Saccharomyces cerevisiae S288C: one gene and its partner. Changing the gene in region 1 together with any one later gene gives a genetic interaction. Each region holds a gene or a part of one and is shown on either strand. Other genes may lie near its edges.

Region 1 (6,135 bases):
GTCTCAAGTAGCCACTTTACGAGGATTTTGAACGGATTTCTAGCAGTTTCTTCACGCTGGGGCGCTGTTGCATTCTCTTATACCAAGCTCGAAGCGCCTCGCACTCTTCCGGCACTTGTAGTTTTACAATTGCAGCAAATATTAGACCAGCTATTACTGTGATGTCAGCCATTGAGAATGAATCACCAGCAACATATGGGCGTTCTCTGAGAACGGTATCAAAATAATGCATTCCATGTAGGGCTTTGTCGCGCTGGCGAAGTCCCCACTCTTTGTTTTGGTAAAGCTCGACTTCAGGCCCCAATCCAGGTGTAGCATGGTGAAAATAAACACTAACAGGGTCGAGCAGTTCCAACTCTGCGCGTTTGTTCATCATGTGGATTACGCCTTTTTCCAGCGGTGTTTTGCCGGTAAGAGTGGGTGTACCATCAAGTGCATCAATGTATTCAGTAATGGCTGTGCATTCAGCGATTAAAGTCCCGTCATCAAGTTCAAGCACTGGCACTGTGCCTGAATAGTTCTTGGCAAGAAATTCAGGCTTCTTGTGCTCTCCCTTCCAGAGGTTGATCCTCACAAATTGCACACTTGATAGCATGTTCTTCTCAGCCAAGGCAATGCGGACTCGGGCCGGATAAGGCCCTGCGGGTGTGTCATATATTATCATTTTTTGTTTCATCTTTTCACCTCCATTGTAAATCAGGAAACCTCTGCCATTCATGTATCCTTTGTAGGTACTTTATATAGAGCACCAAGTTTCTATCCTTTAGCAGGAAGCACATTATTAATCATTTGAGACGTAAACGAATGAATTAGTAAGCAGTGAAAGAAATTCGAGCACTAAGCGCGACCTAAGGGAACGGACACGGAACGGAGAAACTGAAGTATCAAATACTTCCATTTGATCAAACCACTTGTATCCACTCCCTGTTTTGCACACGGTAGTAGAAGGTCTTTTGAATATTTACTGTAAATACCGATTTCTATGTCCTTCTTGTCCGATTATAGGATTCGGGTCATTTCCAGCGCCTACTTTCCTTCTTGATTTCAAAATGTGTGGTTAACGTACTCCCAATTGCACTACTGTTCCTACAGTTCACGCGCACCTCTTTCTGATGAAAATGCAGCTGCATTAATCTGCGATCTATTGGCATCTCGCTCTTGTATCTGCCCTCCATTCGTGAAATTTTACTCTATTACCATCTTTGATCATTTTTTTGTCGCAAATGTGATACGGCATCCATCGAATTTTGCTCGTAATTGTTTGCCATTATCGCCCTTTTCATTCCGTATTATTCATCCACTCCGCTTCATAATGGGTTCCAAAAAAAGAACTATTGTACGAGCTTTTAGACTCACGAAAACATTACTTGAACAATAATTAGCGCCTGCAGAACTTGACATAATAAAATTCCATTTTCGATATCTAGCTGTCTGAAGATATGATATCTAAGTAATACGGGAAAGTTTCCGCTATTATTCTCTGTTGCAAGCTCACGTGAAAATGTGGATTCGCGAGTGGGGTGTAAGTGAGGATTGCCAAGCCTTTTGTTCGAAAACTTCTGCAGGAAGCGTTGTGTTGCAAGGATGATGCAGCATGAAATATGTGTTTTCTTTTTTTCGAGGTTCACTCCTACAGGTGATTCCTTCGAGAAATTCTGCAACCCATTGTGATATGATGCCTGGCCGAAAGATTTCTTCATTTCTTCGGAGCAGGTTCGGCCCGAAATCCTCATGATCGAGCCGAATGCCAAGAAGTAAAACACCAGGATGACTAACCAGTTATTATCATGTGTATACAGTACTTTGGTACCTTTATCAAGAAGTATACTAAAATATACCAACACCACACACATGCACATGGTAGCTGAGCGAACAGTTTCGAGATTTCAGCATTAATTTCATCTAATAAGACTTTCCGTCTGCTTTCAAGATCAACGTGCTGAACATTTTTACTCTGCTTTCATAATACTCCCATTTTAGGCTTTGATTCAAAAGCCCACTCAATGCAATACCTAAAATGATATCCTTCAAAGATATGTTTAATGAATATGCAGCCACAGCTTTGAATTCAGATTGACCTTGTGTTGCATTAAGTCAGACACCTCTAGATTTGTGTGGCTGCTCTCAAGAAAGGATGTTGAAGAAGATTTATTTACGGAAGAAATAACTGTATACGGCATTTTATTCTTTCTTAAACGAGCAAATTAAAGAATAGACGGATAGAGACTGGAGCTTTAGCATGTGTTCCGAGAAGTCCTTGACACGCGCCACGGTTGTTATGCCGCACACTACAATGATGTGTTTGAAAAAGTATATTAATGCCTATTGTCAAGATGCAATTCATCAATTCCAGCATTGAGTGATTCTTCTCTGGTGCGGTAAAACATAAATTTTAAATCTAGTACTCAACCACCACTGAACAACTATTAATCATCGTGGAAATTATTATGACGGAAATTGAATTTGGGCAACCCCTTCCCAGCAATCTAGACTATGCTGTTTCTTTTGGCATTCCTACATGGGATTCGGCAATAGGCTATGCGGAAAAGGTGCCAGAGGTAATAGGCAAAATGGCTACAGGATATCCGAGGTACTTTCCTCAACCCCCCGTCCAGAGGCTTTGTGCTTACTTTGTTAAGAAATTTGGGCGAGGTTCAGAAAACTGTCGTCCTTTTCCATCCGTTAACCTGGGTTTAAAGTGTTTCGAGTACGTAAAATCTGTCTCAGGACCTGAAAGTAAAGCTCACCTTGAAGTGGAAACAGTTACGATTAAAAACCGTGGGGCAAAAACGTCGAAAGAACCGGCGGAATTGGTGCTAACCATTGCTGCTGTCCTTGCATCGGAGGAAGAGTTCGAGACTGTGAAAGAGTATTGGAAATTAAGAGGTGAATGTGTATCTAGTCGATTGGCGTTGTCTGTCAACCAACTTCTTGACTGCGCTAATCATGGCTCAGAGCAGGTATTGCGTGAGCTAGAGGCTGGTGTTTTTGCAGCAAAGAAGGGGGAGGAGAAAGCAAAGAACCTGATAAAGGGAAGGATAGTTGAGAATCGCTTCAGGCCCTTTGGTTTGGAGAAGAAAACCCCGAATTGGGAGGGACTCAACCTCAACCCAAATGAAGACGTTTATCTTGTATCAAGTGGCATGTCTGCAATATCTACGGCTCGTAATTTACTCACCTTTTGGGAGGAGAAGAAGAATTCAGGAGATTCATTAAACAAGACCACCTCTGACCAAAAGAAAAAGCCATTATTATGTGACACTGTTGGCATCTTCGGCTTCCCTTTCAAAGATACGCAGGTCATTATGACTAAATTTGGAAAATGTAAATTTTTTGGATTTGGAAATTCTAGAGACGTTGTCGAATTACAAAAGTTTTTAGAAACAAGCAAACAACGCATTCTTGCCGTTTTCGTCGAGACACCTTCAAATCCTCTGCTGAATATGCCGGATTTGAAAAAATTGAGGAGTTTGGCCGACCAGTATGGCTTTTTTATTGTAATTGATGATACTATTGGGGGCCTTAACGTTGACATCTTGCCCTATGCTGATATAGTCAGCACGTCCCTGACTAAGCTTTTCAATGGTGCTAGTAATGTAATGGGCGGCTCTGTCGTTTTAAATCCGAAATCATCTCTGTATCCATATGCTCGTGAGTACTTCAGGAGCGCTAATTTCGAGGATTTGTTATGGTGTGAAGATGCGATAGTTTTAGAACGTAATTCCAGGGATTTTGAAGATAGAACTTTACGTGCTAATGCAAACACAGGAATATTGTTGAATGATTTGCTTTTACCCGAGGAGGGGAAAATATGCAAAAAGATTTATTATCCAACTGTTACTTCTAAGGAGACCTTTGAGAACTACGAAAGTGTACGTAATGAACGTGGTGGCTATGGATGCTTGTTCTCTGTAGCCTTTTTCAATGAGGGCGATGCAAAAGCATTCTATGACTCTTTAAAGGTATTCAAGGGACCTTCTAATGGTACTAACTTTACCTTAGCATGTCCATATGTCCATCTGGCGCACCACTCAGAATTAGAAGAAGTTTCCAAGTTTGGGGCCGACCCCAACATTATTAGAGTAAGCGTAGGTTTAGAAGATATCCAGTGGTTATTGAAAGTTTTTTCAAGTGCTTTAGATGTTGTGAAAAGCAGAGGCTCCAAACACTCATGAAGCAGATCATGAGTAGAATATCAAAAATCAAGAATTCTTTATAATCTTTATAGAATATTGTTTATAAAAGTTTTTTTCCATTCTAGCATATAATTTTTTTGGAGGAAGTCTTTTCTGGAACCTTCACATGGATCTTAATTAATGAAAGTAGACAGAGCTCATAAGATCACTAGTTGTTTATAAACTGAAGATGTTCCTTCTTATTGACTTCAACATTATATCGCTCTGAATTAGTTGATCTGTAACTTCAGAGTTTCTTTACCAGAATAAAAGCGTCACAGTTTTTCTTTAGTTTATATGTACACAGGTTGGGGTTTACTATAAACTATAAAAAAGAAGTGTTGTCGCCGCTATTTTAAGGTTTATACACAATTTTAACCAAAAAAAAGAATAAGTTGAGCAACGTTGGAACTGCCTCTGCAACGAATTCCGGCTATATACAACCTGCATCTTTGAAATTCAAATATCCAAAGTTAATGAAGAAGGATAATAATTTTCATCATTCAAAAACTTTAGATCTTCCACGGGCCTTTCCGCTTGTGGAGTAATCCTGAACGCATGTCTGTGAATTGGTTCTTCCCAATCAATCACTGCTGAATGTTGAACTCTGCGGTTATCCCAAATGACGACGGAATGAGGTTCCCATTTGGCTCTTAACTGTAAATCATGGCTGCTCTCCACTAGATTGTACAAGAAATTCAAAAGTGATTCAGATTCTTGTCTTTTCAATTCGACTATTTTCCTAGAAAATGCACGATTGACATACAAGCATTTCTTTTTCAAGACAGGATGAACTCTGACCAGTGGATGAATATGCGTGACAGGTGCTCTTCTTTTTATGCCGCCCTGGCGCTGTGAATTCTCTGCCTGTTCCTTTGAGCTATGGATGACATGAAGCGTGCTCAAGAAATCTTGCAAAGGCTTCGACAACCTGTCGAAAGCCTCGATCGTATCCGCAAATAACGTATCTCCACCACCATCAGGACCTTCAACAACACTAAAGAAAGTATAAGAAGGTGGCTGTAACTCGTAAGAGACGTCTGTGTGCCAGCCACCAGATGATGTCGAGTCATCAAAAACTCTTGCAAATTCTTCCGCATCAGGTCTTCGGAAAGTGATATGCAGCTCAGGATTGTTTTGAGGGTGGCCACTAGTTTGATGAATGTGCAACTTGCCAAAATGTCTTCCGTATTCAGTCACATAATCGGGTCCCTCGTCAGCAAAATTCTGATTTCTAAAGACAACTACTCCCTTTTGGGCGACAAGCAAAGCGAGTTCATCTTTTGCAGCATCAGAAAGATCAGTTAGCTGGATCCCATTGATCTCGAGACCTAATTTCGGGGTGATCTTCTTCACCTTTAGTTGACCAACGTTTTCTTTTGCAAAAAGGTTTGAAAAGTTACCGTCAGCTCTCAAAGCAGGATCATGGTATTCGTGAAATTCCAGCGGGCCATACTTTTCAGTAGGATCCCATGTAGGCAAATAATCTGGATACTTCGATTTCTCTCTATAAGATTTACGGATTTTCAATAAACCAGATGGAGAGACCTCATCTTGGCCATCATAAAAATGGGTATCAAAATTCCCGTAACCTTGCTTGGAGGTATAATTCAGGTTTTTCAACCCATTTGTAATGATTTTGACTGGTAAATCGGTAGATGGAAGAGGGATTGCTGTTTGAGCTGCTGCAGGAGACATATTTTAACTGGGTTACTGTGCTATGTTTGTACAAGTATGAAAGGGCCGATTATACAGCAATAGTACACCTTTTTATATGTTTCTGTCATCAAGAACTGTTACTGACTCCTTAACTTTTCCAGCATTCTTGTTGTATTGCCTACATACCTTCTTTATGTTAGTAGTATGATAAATAAACTCCATGTGCCCTGTGGCGCCAAATAAGAAATCGACTCAAGCCACATTGAGGCTTTTGTCATCATTCCCCTATATACTAATATAG
Region 2 (6,898 bases), on another chromosome or scaffold:
ACCGAAATCATAGCATTCGTCGATAACGGCAGGTGATGCCCCAGATAATATAGCAGCACATCTGCAAGATTTTGATATCAAAGCAGCAGTCTTCAGATAGGTCTTGTGTATGTAGTATTCAAATGCAGTTTCTATAATCTGATCATGAGATAATTGCAGCCCCTGTTGGCGGCTTGGAACACGAAAGTCGTGCTCTTTAACTTCAAGCTTTTTAGAAGGAACCGGAAGTAGCTTATGGCCATTTTCGATGGTATCGATATCCGCGTCAATGGAAGTATTTTTCAGTTGCATGAACTCACCTTCGACAAGATTCGCAATACTATTAGACATTAGTTCTACGACTTCGGGGTTGTGTAATCTTGAAATTGACACTGTTGCTCTCCCTAAGAGAAAATCACCCGCCAAAACGGCCATCTTGTTGGTAAAGGCAGCATTTCCGCTTGGCCTTCCTCTTCTTGTATCAGAATGATCAATAACGTCATCATGAAGTAAAGACGCAGTGTGTATCATCTCTACAATCTCTGCTAATCTTCTCTGTTTGGGTAAAATCCCTCTTTGTTTGTCAAAAGTTTCTTCTGGCAAAGGCTCAGGACCTTTTGTCAAGGGATTTAGTGGTTTAATACCGTGAAGAATATGTAGTGGGGATATGCTACTTGCAGGACGTTGAAATAGTTGATTTTGACTAGGTTTAGAGTAAATTGGGTCCTCAGGAACATCCGACTTGTCAATTTTCAAGTGATTTCTTTCTGTCATGGGAATTTCAGAAAGTGCTCTTGACAACAACAACACTAACAAGGGACGTACTTTTTTGCCTTCTGTTTCAAAATAGTAACTAGTAACCTTGTTTAGCACCGGATGGCCAGACCCGATGAGGGCAACTATATTTTTGGCCAATGTGTTCATCTCCTTCGAGACTAATGATATGGGATTATTCCAAAGAATCTTGGGAGTTACCAACTTACTGGCAGCGTTTAAAGCAACTGCAAAGGAGGATTTAAAGCGGCATCTTCGAGATGAAATCAATTTGATGTGATGAGCAGCGCCAGACCTTTGAAACATCGTCCCACTGTACTCAATTCGGACTGAATGGCACACTTCTTGTGTTGTAGAAAATCTCTATAGATTATAATGTGTCTTACTTTAATCTTCTAATCCCCTAACCCTGTTACCCTCGCTCGGGCTTTTTCCGAAGATGCCAACAAAATGCTTAGAATGAAAAAAAAAAAAATTTTCGTAATAATGACAGGTTTCAATAGAACTTAAGCAGTAAAAATAGGGTAAACACAGGTAAAAGACGGTATGGAAACGGATAGTGGTATACCTGGTCATTCATTTGTGTTAAAGTGGACAAAAAACATCTTTTCGCGCACATTGCGTGCATCTAACTGTGTACCTAGACATGTTGGGTTCATCATGGATGGGAACAGGAGATTCGCTAGAAAGAAAGAGATGGACGTAAAGGAGGGCCACGAGGCAGGATTTGTTAGTATGAGTAGAATCTTAGAACTGTGTTATGAAGCAGGAGTCGATACGGCTACCGTGTTTGCCTTTTCAATTGAAAATTTCAAGAGGAGCTCACGGGAAGTTGAATCACTGATGACTTTAGCGCGCGAAAGGATACGACAAATCACAGAACGTGGAGAGCTGGCCTGTAAGTATGGGGTACGCATTAAAATTATCGGCGATCTCTCTTTGTTGGATAAGTCTCTATTAGAAGATGTTCGGGTTGCTGTGGAAACTACAAAGAACAACAAAAGGGCCACGTTAAATATCTGCTTTCCATATACAGGCAGGGAAGAAATCTTGCATGCCATGAAAGAAACAATTGTTCAACATAAGAAGGGCGCCGCTATAGACGAAAGCACGTTAGAATCGCATCTCTACACGGCGGGGGTACCCCCTTTAGATTTATTGATTAGGACAAGTGGCGTTTCCAGATTAAGTGACTTTTTGATATGGCAGGCATCGAGTAAGGGCGTACGCATCGAATTGCTGGATTGTTTATGGCCAGAGTTTGGACCTATACGGATGGCATGGATTTTATTAAAATTTTCGTTTCACAAATCCTTTTTAAACAAAGAGTACAGATTAGAGGAAGGTGATTATGACGAGGAAACCAATGGGGACCCCATCGATTTGAAAGAAAAAAAGTTGAATTAAGAAAGGTCTGCATTTTTTTCCTACCACATGGCATAGATATTTATAGAGTAATGAGCAAGATAAATGAGTTCGCAAAAGAACATTCAAATAATTAGTAATAAATGAGTAGAAATTCACGCATCTTTATAGAGTTTATAATGCAAATCTCCGCGCGGGGTAATTTGAAGTCCAATTTTTCCGAGCGGCGTGCCAGTTCCACTAAATTATATAAAGCGGATAGGAATTGTAATTACCTCCCAAAGTTAATATTCGACTAATGTATATTTCATATGTTATAGCGCTTGTAGGAACTGTTTTCCATTAAAACTAATATTCTTTATTTCTCAATTTTATTTATTTATTTATATTTTTCCTTTGCAAATATATTTGACGCAGGTTCGGATCAGACATTTGGTATATAAGGAGACCTGCATATACTCAAATAATGGTAGATTTTTTACCAAAAGTAACGGAAATAAATCCTCCATCCGAAGGTAATGATGGTGAAGATAACATAAAGCCACTTTCAAGTGGTTCAGAGCAGCGGCCGTTGAAAGAAGAGGGGCAACAAGGTGGTAGAAGACATCACCGGCGGTTGTCCTCTATGCATGAGTATTTTGACCCGTTTTCCAACGCAGAGGTCTATTATGGACCAATAACAGATCCAAGAAAACAGTCAAAAATTCATAGACTAAATAGAACCAGAACTATGAGTGTTTTCAATAAAGTTTCTGACTTCAAAAACGGAATGAAGGATTATACCCTGAAAAGGAGGGGTTCTGAAGACGACAGCTTCCTCAGCAGCCAAGGTAACCGTAGATTTTATATTGATAATGTGGATCTCGCTTTAGATGAGCTGCTCGCTAGTGAGGACACAGACAAGAATCACCAAATTACCATAGAAGACACTGGGCCCAAAGTTATTAAAGTCGGGACGGCCAATTCCAACGGTTTCAAACATGTAAATGTTAGGGGAACATATATGCTTTCTAACTTGTTGCAGGAACTAACCATTGCAAAAAGTTTCGGACGACACCAAATATTTTTGGATGAGGCGCGTATAAATGAAAACCCTGTTGATAGATTATCAAGATTGATAACGACTCAATTTTGGACGAGTTTAACGAGAAGAGTTGATCTTTATAATATTGCAGAAATTGCTAGAGACTCAAAAATAGATACGCCAGGCGCTAAAAATCCAAGAATTTATGTTCCATATAACTGCCCAGAGCAGTACGAATTTTACATTCAGGCATCTCAAATGAACCCGTCCTTAAAACTTGAAGTGGAGTACTTACCAAAAGATATTACAGCAGAGTATGTTAAATCATTAAATGATACACCGGGTTTGTTAGCCCTGGCTATGGAAGAACACGTTAATCCATCTACTGGTGAAAGGTCCCTAGTTGGTTATCCTTATGCGGTACCTGGCGGTAGATTCAATGAATTGTATGGCTGGGATTCATATTTAATGGCACTGGGACTCATAGAAAGTAATAAGGTTGATGTTGCAAGAGGTATGGTGGAGCATTTTATATTCGAAATTGATCACTATAGTAAAATTTTGAATGCTAATAGGAGTTATTATCTTTGCAGATCTCAGCCACCATTCCTAACCGATATGGCTCTGCTCGTATTTGAAAAGATAGGAGGTAAGAATAATCCAAACGCTATTCAGTTGTTAAAACGCGCGTTCAGAGCTGCTATTAAAGAATATAAAGAGGTGTGGATGTCGAGCCCTAGGTTAGATTCTCTGACAGGGCTGTCTTGTTATCATTCTGATGGTATTGGTATCCCTCCGGAAACTGAACCAGATCATTTTGATACTATATTATTACCGTATGCTGAAAAGTACAATGTTACTCTGGAAAAGCTTAGGTACCTTTATAACGAAGGCATGATTAAAGAACCCAAACTGGATGCATTTTTTTTACATGATCGTGCCGTGAGAGAGTCAGGACATGACACGACTTATAGGTTTGAAGGTGTATGTGCATATTTAGCGACAATTGATCTAAACTCCTTGCTCTATAAATATGAGAAAGATATTGCTTTCGTCATTAAGGAGTATTTTGGTAATGAATATAAAGATGAGAATGATGGAACGGTAACCGATTCTGAACACTGGGAGGAGCTAGCTGAACTGAGGAAAACAAGGATTAATAAGTATATGTGGGACGAAGATTCAGGGTTTTTCTTCTATTATAACACGAAACTGAAATGCAGAACGTCTTATGAGTCTGCAACGACTTTTTGGAGTTTGTGGGCTGGTCTTGCAACTGAAGAGCAAGCAAAAATCACAGTAGAAAAAGCTCTTCCTCAGTTAGAAATGCTCGGCGGACTAGTTGCATGCACAGAAAAATCAAGAGGTCCTATTTCTATTGATAGACCGATCAGGCAATGGGATTATCCTTTTGGTTGGGCGCCGCACCAAATATTAGCCTGGAAAGGTTTATCTGCATATGGTTATCAACAAGTAGCTACAAGATTGGCTTATAGGTGGCTGTACATGATTACAAAATCATTTGTTGATTATAACGGAATGGTGGTAGAAAAATATGATGTGACAAGAGGGACTGATCCGCATCGCGTTGATGCGGAATATGGTAATCAAGGTGCTGATTTTAAGGGCGTCGCTACAGAAGGCTTTGGTTGGGTGAACACAAGTTATTTGCTCGGATTGAAATATATGAATAATCATGCAAGAAGGGCTCTCGCTGCTTGTAGTCCACCATTGCCATTTTTCAATAGTTTGAAACCCTCTGAGAAAAAATTGTATTACCTATAATATTGACGAACATATGTAAATAAGATATATGTTATATTCTTCTTTCTATCAATAACCATGAGATTGTGCCTCAGTAATATTTGAGACGATTTAGAGTAAGGTCAAATATTATTATTAATCAAGTTGTGTAAAGGCTCATTTGTGAAGGTTAGAATAGTAATCGATGATTTTCAAGTAAAAGTGTTTGAAGGGCATTTCAGTAACATCTTCAAACTAGGAGTTTGTTGAGACAAAAAAGTCTGATTTTCATAAGATCATAACTTACGCTTTGAAGATCGTTATGAGTACCTTGTAGCTTGCCAGATCTTCTTGCTTATTCTTAAGCTCTTGGGTAGTACTGTATAAGACTGCTTGACATCGGGAACACTATCATTACCGTGTGATAGAATTCTCGTACCAAGCCGGTTCACCTTTGCGTGGTCTAGTGCATAGGAAGAATGACTAATAGAAAGCTTTCATTTCTATTAGTGTCTTAAATGCGAAGAAGGTATGGGAATCTATTACATACATGAAGAATATAGGATCTGTATATCGTCGTCACCGACGTAAGGTTTTTTTGTCAATTCTCGGTGAACAATTTTTTGCAAGAAATATATTGATACTTCTTGTTGAAATATTTTTCTTTTTCGGAAAACAAAAACATAAAATAATTATTTAAGAAAAAAAATTAATTAATAAATTTAAATAGAAAATCTTTTTTACTTAATAATAATTAAATAAATAAGTCACATGATTTATGTAGGATCAATTTGCTCAAGATTAATTTATTATTATTGATATTAGTAGGTGCCAGTTGAATAGCTATATTTTCAGTCTGTTTGAACGTTCTTTTTTTCATTTTCTGCTGAAAGCAAGTACTCCTACTTTTATTACTTTACATGTTATCGGAGGCCTGCACAGACACTTGTATCCTATACTATCAAGGTAAATATGATTGATTGATCCTCTTGGGAAATGGGATTTTAAGTTTTGTTAGCATTCTGGTTTGCCAACCTGTTGGTAAAGCACTATTTTTCAAGCTTTTGCAACGAGATTTGTCTCTTTGATTTTTTATTTATGATTTCTAACTTTTTACTTTTAGTTAAACTATTAAAGAATAATTTTCGCAAGGTACATAGCGATTTAAGTAGTTCAGAAAAGAAATTATTTAAAAATTACTCGCTCTCTTATTTGAAATGAAGATGGTTTTCAGACAAACTCCTACACAAGCTTGTTACTGGCTTTCAGTCCGAAAACAGCTCCAAACCCTTTAATAAAACCTTTCGTTTCTTTTACTTTTTATTCGAATTATATAGCTCTTTGACATTCCTTTTTTAGTATGATTCAAGCTCCCCTCTTTTCCACCCCGTGAAAAACAGAATATCATTAACCGGGATTCACTGACATCGTCAAAAGGAGAGATCAAGATATTCAGTTTTTGTCATTGCCGTCGTGATCATTAACTATAAAGCACATAAACTACAAGTTTAGAAAATGCCCAAGATCTTTTGTTTAGCGGACGTGTGTATGGTCCCTATTGGCACCGACTCTGCTAGTATTTCTGATTTTGTTGCACTCATTGAAAAAAAAATCAGAGAAAGCCCATTAAAGAGCACTTTACACAGTGCAGGAACAACAATTGAAGGGCCTTGGGATGATGTGATGGGTTTGATTGGCGAAATCCATGAATACGGTCATGAGAAAGGATATGTTAGAGTACACACTGATATTCGTGTTGGGACTAGAACTGATAAGCACCAAACTGCTCAAGATAAGATCGATGTTGTTTTAAAAAAAATTTCTCAATGAATGCTCGTGTAGTGAACCTAAATAGGGTATATCTTTAAGGAGAGTTTAAGAAACAATTTAATAATAACTGTTTGCAAAATATCTTTCCCAATTTTTTTTGTTTATAAAGTTATATATATACATTTATACAACTCCCTTCGGAGGCTGATAGACTAGACCCTTCCAATCATATCTGGACAAGTA

The links. Genes that interact genetically often act in the same process or in processes that back each other up.
Region 2: mutations in HSU1 (region 1) and NTH2 together harm fitness more than expected from each alone (negative genetic interaction), as found in Saccharomyces cerevisiae (one large-scale study listed by BioGRID).

The regions. Positions count from the first base shown.
Region 1 is NC_001144.5:21,122-27,256, forward strand, and holds HSU1 (cystathionine gamma-synthase), read left to right. Parts: upstream 1-2,447; coding exon 2,448-4,175; downstream 4,176-6,135. Other genes in the region: glutathione transferase GTT2, read right to left, coding at 17-718; JLP1 (sulfonate dioxygenase), read right to left, coding at 4,635-5,873. UniProt on the Saccharomyces cerevisiae protein: Plays a role in inorganic sulfur assimilation during sulfur-limited conditions; catalyzes the conversion of O-acetyl-L-homoserine (OAH) into homocysteine in the methionine biosynthesis pathway.
Region 2 is NC_001134.8:236,970-243,867, reverse strand, and holds NTH2 (alpha,alpha-trehalase NTH2), read left to right. Parts: upstream 1-2,584; coding exon 2,585-4,927; downstream 4,928-6,898. Other genes in the region: COQ1 (trans-hexaprenyltranstransferase), read right to left, coding at 1-1,059; RER2 (ditrans,polycis-polyprenyl diphosphate synthase), read left to right, coding at 1,300-2,160; ECM15 (Ecm15p), read left to right, coding at 6,401-6,715.